Linked DNA regions of Macaca fascicularis. The protein of the gene in region 2 purifies or fractionates together with the protein of the main gene of each other region. This does not show direct contact. Links are inferred from orthologs where the notes say so. Each region holds a gene or a part of one and is shown on either strand. Other genes may lie near its edges.

What was found.
Region 1: the proteins of ITPR1 (region 2) and ERLIN2 purify together in Homo sapiens (affinity purification with western blotting, with the first as the bait; 4 studies listed by BioGRID). This does not show direct contact. The link is inferred for Macaca fascicularis from reciprocal best matches to the Homo sapiens genes ITPR1 and ERLIN2.

What each region holds. Positions count from the first base shown.
Region 1 is NC_088382.1:41,109,796-41,114,404, reverse strand, and holds the start of ERLIN2 (erlin-2), read right to left. Parts: upstream 3,085-4,609; 5' UTR 2,621-3,084; exon of another isoform or gene 2,505-2,620; coding exon of another isoform or gene 2,464-2,504; exon of another isoform or gene 2,309-2,463; intron 1,976-2,308; 5' UTR 1,961-1,975; coding exon 1,854-1,960; intron 1-1,853. Other genes in the region: uncharacterized protein, read left to right, coding at 2,464-2,504, 3,085-3,589. UniProt on the Homo sapiens protein: Component of the ERLIN1/ERLIN2 complex which mediates the endoplasmic reticulum-associated degradation (ERAD) of inositol 1,4,5-trisphosphate receptors (IP3Rs) such as ITPR1.
Region 2 is NC_088376.1:142,897,370-142,901,182, reverse strand, and holds part of ITPR1 (inositol 1,4,5-trisphosphate-gated calcium channel ITPR1), read right to left. Parts: intron 1,992-3,813; coding exon 1,740-1,991; intron 1,262-1,739; coding exon 1,120-1,261; intron 399-1,119; coding exon 218-398; intron 1-217. UniProt on the Homo sapiens protein: Inositol 1,4,5-trisphosphate-gated calcium channel that, upon inositol 1,4,5-trisphosphate binding, mediates calcium release from the endoplasmic reticulum (ER).

The DNA.
Region 1 (4,609 bases), on a different chromosome or scaffold from region 2:
GCTACTTGGGAGACTGAGATGTAAGAATTGCTTGAGCCTGGGAGGTTGAGGCTGTAGTGAGCCATAATTGTGCCACTGCACTCCAGCTTGGGCAACAAAGTGAGACTCTGTCTTAAAAAAAAAAAAAAAAAAAAAAGACAGCGGAATCCATGGGTATACTTAGATAACAGGCACTCTGGCCAGGCGCAGTGGCTCACGCCTGTAATCTTTGGGAAGCCGAGGTGGGTAGATTACGAGGTCAGGAGTTCAAGGCCAGGCTGGCCAACATGGTGAAACCCCGTCTCTACTAAAAATACAAAAATTAGCCAGGCATGGTGGCAGGTGCCTGTAATCCCAGCTACTTGGTAGGCTGAGGCAGAGAATTGCTTGAACCCAGGAGGCGAAGGTTGCAGCGAGCTGATATCTTGCCACTGCACTCTAGCCTGGGCAACAGAGCCAGGCTGAGTCTCAGAAAAAAAAAAAAAAGAAGATGAAGTCTGTTTTACTTTGTCATATCTGTTGGGCTTGTGGTAATCCATAAGGGCAGTTAAGTCCAGTAATGTGGTTATCAACTACCTGCACTAATGCTGGAGTCCACTGACATGACCAACCAAAAGAATAATTTGAAGTACTTTATAAGTAATTGAAATATATGTTTTGGCAATAGAGTTACCTTTCTAATCAAGTTATATGTAAATGATAAAGTTAAAAGCCTTTTTGGGGAACATGTAAGCAGATCATGGGGAGAAAGAATTAAAGGAGAGAGGAATTCCAGAGTTTTAGAACTTGCTGTTATCAATCCAGAAATAAGCATCACAACAGCACATATAAGAAGAGTTCACAAAGACATAAAGCAAAAAACTTGGTCATGGAGATTATTAAAAAGAAAGCAACCCGACTTATAAGTGCTTCTTTGCTTTATATTATGCAAAGAATTAAAAAAAACCAATAAAACAAACAGTGACATAATGGGCTCCTAAATTTATTGTAGGAACCACTATCCTAAGGCTTGCTTTGACTGACATAAGTCAACCTGCAGGCTCTTTCATTTTTCGTGAAATGTTAATATTATTTTAATTTAGTTTTAGAGACAGGGTTTTGCTCTGTCACCCAGGCTGGAGTGCAGTGGTGTGATCACTGCAGCCTCAAACTCCTGGGCTCAAGTGATCCTCCCACTTCAGCCTCTCCAATAACTGGGATTACAGGCACATGCCACCATGCTCAGCTAATTTTTTACTTTTTGTAGAGATGGGCTCTCACTATGTTGCTCAGGCTGGTCTCAATCTCCTGGGCTCAGGTGATCCTCTCACCTTAGTCTCCTGAGTAACTAGGACTACGTGTGCGTGACACAGAGTCGGCTAATTAATTTTTTTATTTTTATTTTTTAGAGATAGGGTCTCACATATTACCCAGGCTGGCTGAAATGTTAATTTCAAAAGAGTATCCTAAATTAGCAGAGTAGGCTACCTTCTCAAGTTGCCATCAAGAACTGGGACTCAGCTGGCTTTTGTAAAGGTAACCTAGCAGTGTAGAGCTAAGACTGCCAGAGGGATGTAGGAGAAAACAGTATTTTAGGGATGATCTGTGAGGAGCACCAGTTTCCTTTAGATTTTGCCTCTAAATCTATATAAACATTTATTAATCACCACCCATGGCATCATCTTGGACTACTAAGCGAAGTTCTAAATTTACATATATGTGTGTGTGTGTATTCTCTTTTCCATGGTTACTGACATAAAAAGCTCAATCTGAAAAGACTCCCCTGTTCAAGGAAATATAAACAGAGATGTTCAGCAGTATCTGCTAGGAAAGCAGTGACCAGGAAAGGGAGCTATTTAACAGAAGTTGCCGACTTTGCCCTGTCTCTGTCTTACCTGTAATATACCCCAATATGTCCCTCTTCTATCTTGTGCACAGCTGAGAAGAGAGATGCACACAAGAAACTGGAAGCCACAGCCACAACTGCTCCCAACTGAGCCATCAGTGAGCCTTTATCCTAGGGAAAAGACACGGGAAAATGTGTGTGGTCCAACGTGCAGGAGAAAAGGCCGCAACAGCCAGAGGACCTCACCAAGCTGAGCTCCCTGCGAGTGACTCATATTCAGCCTGGTGTCGTGTGAACACAAGGCTAGATCTACAACTCGCTTCCTCCTCGTTCTCAGTCAACGTTCCCCTTTCCTCAACTGTGAAATCAGGGCCCCCACCGCACTGAGGAAGCACTGGCTCCGGATACAGCCGTTGCTCAAGGGAGAACCCGTGCCAGCTGGGTAGGGTTCAGAACACAGCCTCATCTTCCTGTGAACACGAATGTGCTGTCACTGAATCTTTCATACTAGTAGTAGGGAAGAGAGGCAGCTGCAGTACTTTGGCCCAAATTACAGAGGATGCCAAATGACAGGCAGTTGTGGCTATGTAATTCTGGTCAGAGCCTCCCACTCCTAATTGCCTGCAGTTTCAAGGGAAACCATTATTTACTCCTTTCAGATGCTGGAGTGGCAGAGCCAGCAGGCGAGCCGAGTTTCAAGGTAGGATTCGCTGGCCTCGCATCCACCTTCCCAGTTATTCCTTTGGCCCTAAACAGGACAGGGCTCTGAACAAGCCTGAAGCCACACTCCCCCCGATATACTTTGGCACTTTGCACCTGACAGATCCCCAAGCCCGTGGTCAGAGACAAAGGCAATGTCCAAAACTGCGAGCCTCTGGGCTCCTGGGTCCAACCGCGTTCAGGCACCAGGACGCGGAGGAGTTGGATCCTGAACACTGAATGATCTGGAACTATGGTGACTGACTGCAAAGTTCAGCTGTGCGTGCGTGGGCCCGTGAACGCAGGGCGTGGATTCTGCCTCCCAGGTCTAACGTAACCCGGGCGCGGACATCTGCGAGGCGCTTATTTTACCGTGGCGGCCTCCGGCTACCGATCTGCAGTTGCGTCCTTTCCTGCCAGTGCCCTTCCCTCCCCGAAGTCACTCGCGCCCCTTCCCCGCCCCGTTCCGAGAGAGGGTCAAGCGCCCTGGGCTGGGACTGCGGCTCCAATAGCCTCCGCTCCGTCCCCCTGCGGCTCTCAAGGAAGGGACGCGACAGAAAAGGGTTTCTGTGTCTCTCCAGGAGCGGGCCGGCGGAGGGAGAGAAGCTGCTGGGACTGAGGCTCCCGAGGGTGATGGGTCAGCCCCGAACCGGAGCTGCAGCTAGGCCCAGCGCGCGCACGAAGGGGCGGGGGCCGCGTACCAGGCTGTCCCTGCAGGCGCTCCGTACTCGTCCGAGCCCACGAGCAAGAAAACCGTCACACCCCTCAGCACGCGACTTCCTTCTGGGCCGTCGCTTCGATGACGCCATCAGTTCACGCGAGAAGACCACACCCCCGCCCCGCGCTCGCTCTGCGCCCCGCCCCTCGCGCTTCCAGCGGTCAATGGCCGCAGCTGGCCGCCAGGGATCGCCCGCGGCTTGGTCCGTGCGGTCCTGTACCTCTGTTTCGGGTGTCCGGCCTGGGGCTGGGGATGAGGGCGGTGTAGGTGGGAGCGCCCCGAGAGCGAGCGGCAGGACGCGCGTGACCCGGAGTACTGAGACCCAGGGCGTCCTTTTCCAAGGCGTTGACTTTGGGGATTGCTTCTGATTTCCCTCTGCATTAGGCCGAACCTGGTTCGTTTTGGTTTTTTTTAGAGACAGGGTCTCGCTCTTTTGCCCAGGCTGGAGTGCAGTGGCACGATCATGGCTCACTACAGCCTCGAACTCCTGGACTCAAGCGATCCTCCCATCTCAGCCTCCTGAGTAGCTGGGACAACAGGTGTGCGCCAGGACACTTGACAATTTTATTTTTAGTAAAGACAGGGTCTCGGTATGTCTGGTCTCAAACTCTGGCTTCAAGCAATCCTCCTGCCTCGGCCTCCCAAACTGCTGAGATTACAGGTGTGAGCCACCATGCGCTGCCTTTTTTTTTTTCCCGCCTTGATAAACTACTAGCGAGTTGTAACTGTTTTCCTATAGCACAGCTGAAATGAAACAATCTTTTCAGTGTACAGATTAGCATCATTACCTCACTAATCAAAAATCCCTACCTTGAGTTCTTTATATTTTTCTGGGAGCTTTGGCCATTGCGACCCTGCAACACCACAAAGTATATTAACAAGGAATTATTCTAATTTTAATGAACGGAATCTAAGAAGTTCAGCGAGGTTCAAGGGTAAAAGCCAAGGAAAGCTTCCTTTGTGTTTCCTTAATATCTTGAGTTCATTGCTTTTTTAACTCCTGCCACAGTGCACAGCGGCTTGTGCACTTCGTCTTTCTAGATAAACTGTATGTTCCCGGGAGAGCAGAGACTGACTTTCCTTCCGCACCCCCGGGCCTTAGGTGCCCAGTAAATACAGACTGAAGGCAAACGTGGGACCAGGCCTGGAATCCAGACTTTGTGTCTCCTAGGCTAAGGGCCTCACGTTTTCCTCAACCTGCCCTACTCACCAACATCACATTGGGGCATTTCTAATTCAGCCACTGAAGTTATTAGTTATTTTGTTTGCAGAAAAGAAAGAGTCCACTTAATTATAGCCTTCAGTAAAAGAAAAACTTTTACACCGGGAAGATGGCAAGCCGGTGGTGTTAGACAGATTTAAGACTCAGGAAAAGGGAAGTGTGTTTT
Region 2 (3,813 bases):
TGTGAATAACTGTTGACTCAAAGTCATGGGTGCATGGGACTCCATCATACTGTTCTTCCAGCTTTTCTTTACACAGTATTTGAAAATGTTCATGATGAAAAGTTGGGAAGGAATGAGCAAAGAAAGGATGTGGCATCACACATAGGGTATGACATGAGCGTAACAGGAAAGGCTGGGAGGGCATCTCTCAGATGTATGGGCACCCTCAGATACTCACTCTTCAGCTTCTCCACATCATTGTTACCTTTATTCTCTTCTCCTTTCGCCATCTTGCTAATGGGGAAGATTGTCGTCACATGCACACAGTCCAATATGGCCAGAAGGATCTTAGTTAATCGTAGAAGGTCAGAGAAGTTGTAGAAACCAAAGTATATGAGATTCCTAGCTAAATTTACAACCTATTGTATAAAATAAAAGAAGAAGATGGTATTACATAAACTGCACCCCCTTCAAATCCATTTGATGTTGACCAGTTTAGAAATGACAGATTTGGACCTTCCTTATGGTAAGAGAAGGCATGTATTTTCCTTGCACTTTCTGATAAAATTTCATTTTGTTTCATAAGGAGGAAAAATAAGAAATGGAGAGCTACTGATCTGCTCTGATGACTAATTAAAAAAAAAAGACCTCATCATTTGCTCTGCACAGCTTCCCAAGGATAATATTAACACAAGGCAAGCAGAGTTATTCCCAACAAGGACACAGGTAATAACATTCTGCAATCCTCAGAAATACAGCTCTTAAAAGGCAAAAGTAGTCTCAGAAACATTGTTAACTCAGAAGTAACGAGGATTTACATTCTGCAAATGATTAATCTATAGCAGATCGCAAACACAGTGTTTCTCCCTTGTCAGTTTTAATACAAAGTGATGTTCTATCATTTTATGTGGTTCAAGTCACCTTGTATATTTCTTTTAAGAACATAACTACTATTAAGCCATGTGACTGGTATCTGTTTTATCTTATTCTGGAACAAAACCAAGCTGAATTCCTTTCCATTACAAAACCAGAGCATCATGACCAAAATCACTACCTACTCAAATATTTTCTATTTGCCCCATAGAAAAATGACCACTGAGAGGCAGATAATACACACAGATCATTTCATTTGTGAGTTACCTCAAACGTAAGCTTATTTTTCTCCTTATCAGAGAAAGGGAACCTCTGACAAACCACATCTCTTAAATATTCCTCCACAAACTCCATGGTCTGAGCAAATCTCTCCTTAATTTCATCTTTGGAAGCTCCACTACTATCATAGCTGAAAAGAAAGGAGAAAGAAAGGAAACAAAATTTCAAGTTATTCCCAGAGAGGTCTTCCTGGGTCACTCAGCTTCAAAAGTCAACATCCGCTAACCCTTGGTGTCCCTTGACCCTACTTTATTTTTTCCCTCCTTAGCACATATCACCAACTATATGTTTGAGTCGTTTATCTTGCCTATTGTGTCTTCCACCAACTAGCATAGAGACTGCTTTCTAGCTTGTTCACTGATATATTTCTTGAGTGTGGCACAGAGTACACACTTAAATATTTGTAGAAGAGGAGATAAATGATGTAAAAAACATGATCATGCCATCTTTTACATTCTTGAGGAAAAAAATATTTGCCATCCATTTAATTTTATTTTAAGCTAAAAAAACAACACTTCATCTTTCTTCTAAGATTTAATGAGACTATATGGGGCTATCTACTGCCGCACAGAACAACGTAAAGTGAGGTTTTCAGGGGCCAGGCTCACTCGTCAATGGCAATCTCCGAGGGAATCTCTGACCAGAGGCGGGCATATTTCACGGGGGTGACTTGTTCCTGGGGATCTCGGTCCACATGCATGTGAAGCATGAGGCGGCAGAAGGATGCCCTGAGGTCATAGGGCAGGTTCTCGTCAGACATGCAGCGGAGAATGAGATCGACATCCAGCTGGCCTGAGATTTCATTGATGGCCAGGTATTGGCGGTCCAGACACATCCTGGCAAAGAGGTTCAGCTGATATCTAGAGGAAAGAACAAGGGCACACAGCTCACGCTCCAGAAATCATTCAGGATGAATGCAGGGTTGCCTGGGCAGCCCTGACTTTCATGGGAGTGACATTTGGCCAACTAAACTCATACATCAACACCCCTAAATTGCTCTTGTACACCAGGATTTTGGCTTTGGTACCAAGCAGATCAAAGAACTGTTCAAGCTGTGCAATAGAGTGTGGGTTGACAGCCAACAGGAACACGTGTCTATCCAGCTGTGTTGGAGCAATTCTGTGATGACCTTATTCCATTAGGTCCTTGTTTACTTTGTAAAATAAATGGGGAATGCTAAGGCCTAAGATGGTTGTCTATTTCTATCCCTTCAGCTGTGTTTCATACAGTAAAGACCATGTAGGAAATGTTAAAGATATCACACATATTAAGCCTACTTAGAAATTTTATAACATTTTAAAGATCTTACATCATGTAAGTCACTCTAATTCCTACACATGTAAAAAAACCTTTCATGTACAAAAGCAGGAGACTCCTCACTTTTCATCTTCATCCAATTGCAAGTGAATGTTGTTAACTGGAACTTGATCAATTAAGGACTCTTTCTCATTCACTTGGGAGAAGATTCATCAAACATTGAAAGAGTAAACATGCTTGAAATGTGAAATAACAAGAAAGCCATAGGCTTTCAAACTAACAAATACTGCCTTCTAACTTAAAAACCTATGTATTTCTAATAATCATGATTTGAAGACATCCTCAGCCTCATTAGATATCAGGGAAATGCAAGTATAGACATGACTCTATTTCACACTTATAAAATTACCAAAAATTAAAAAGCATCATGATATTCAAGGTTAACAAAGATATGAAGAAACAAAGGTTGTCATCTACAACTGGTGGGCGTGTACATTGAAACATCCAATTTAGAATTGCTTAGTAAAGCTTAAAATATGAATATCCTCCAAGCCCACCTCCCAGTGTGGAAAGGAAACTCATACATATGCTCAGAAAAATTTGAATGAAGATGTTTTCTGACATGAAGAACTGTGGCATGTGACCAAATATCAAACAGCGATGAAAATGTGATAAATCAATAAAACAGAATATCATCCAGCAGTCCAAATTAAAGAAATAGATCAACCTCTATTAACACAGATATGCTTCAGTACCCATACTGAATAAAAAAGGCAAGTTGTAGAATGATATTTGGAGTACAGTACCATTTATATAAAATTTTAAGTAGAGATAAAATACTACATATGATTTATAGATGCATACAAATGTAGCACACAGAGAATGTGGATAGGATGCACACATCACACATGAATGAAAGAGAACAGAATACAGGAGGCAAGAATAGCCATTTTATCTGCAAAGTTTTATTTATTTTATTAAAAACTAATAAAAGCCTTGCTTTATCTTCCCTTTCCCTTTCTTTTAAAAGTATTTATTGGTTCACTTCCCTTCTTTCTTCCCCTTCCCTTCCCTTCAGGTGGCAGGGCTGGCAGGTCTTCGAGCTGGAGCCAAGCAGACACTGGGGACTGAGGAGGTGGCCAGCAGAGGTGAGACAGGTACACACAGGGGAACGGGCAGACAGGGAAACATACAGGGAATCACGGCAGCTGGAACGAGTCATGAAATGGAAAAAATGAAGGCTAGAATAAACCCCATGGTGTTGGAATGGAATTGGAAGTATTAGTGTAAGCACATGATTTTTATTATATATTTGTGTAGTTATAGAAATAGATATGTGGATGAGTATGTAGATATATGTATATACATACATACATCTTCTGGCTCTGTCTATAAACATTTGGTGAGATTGGCACTATCACCTTT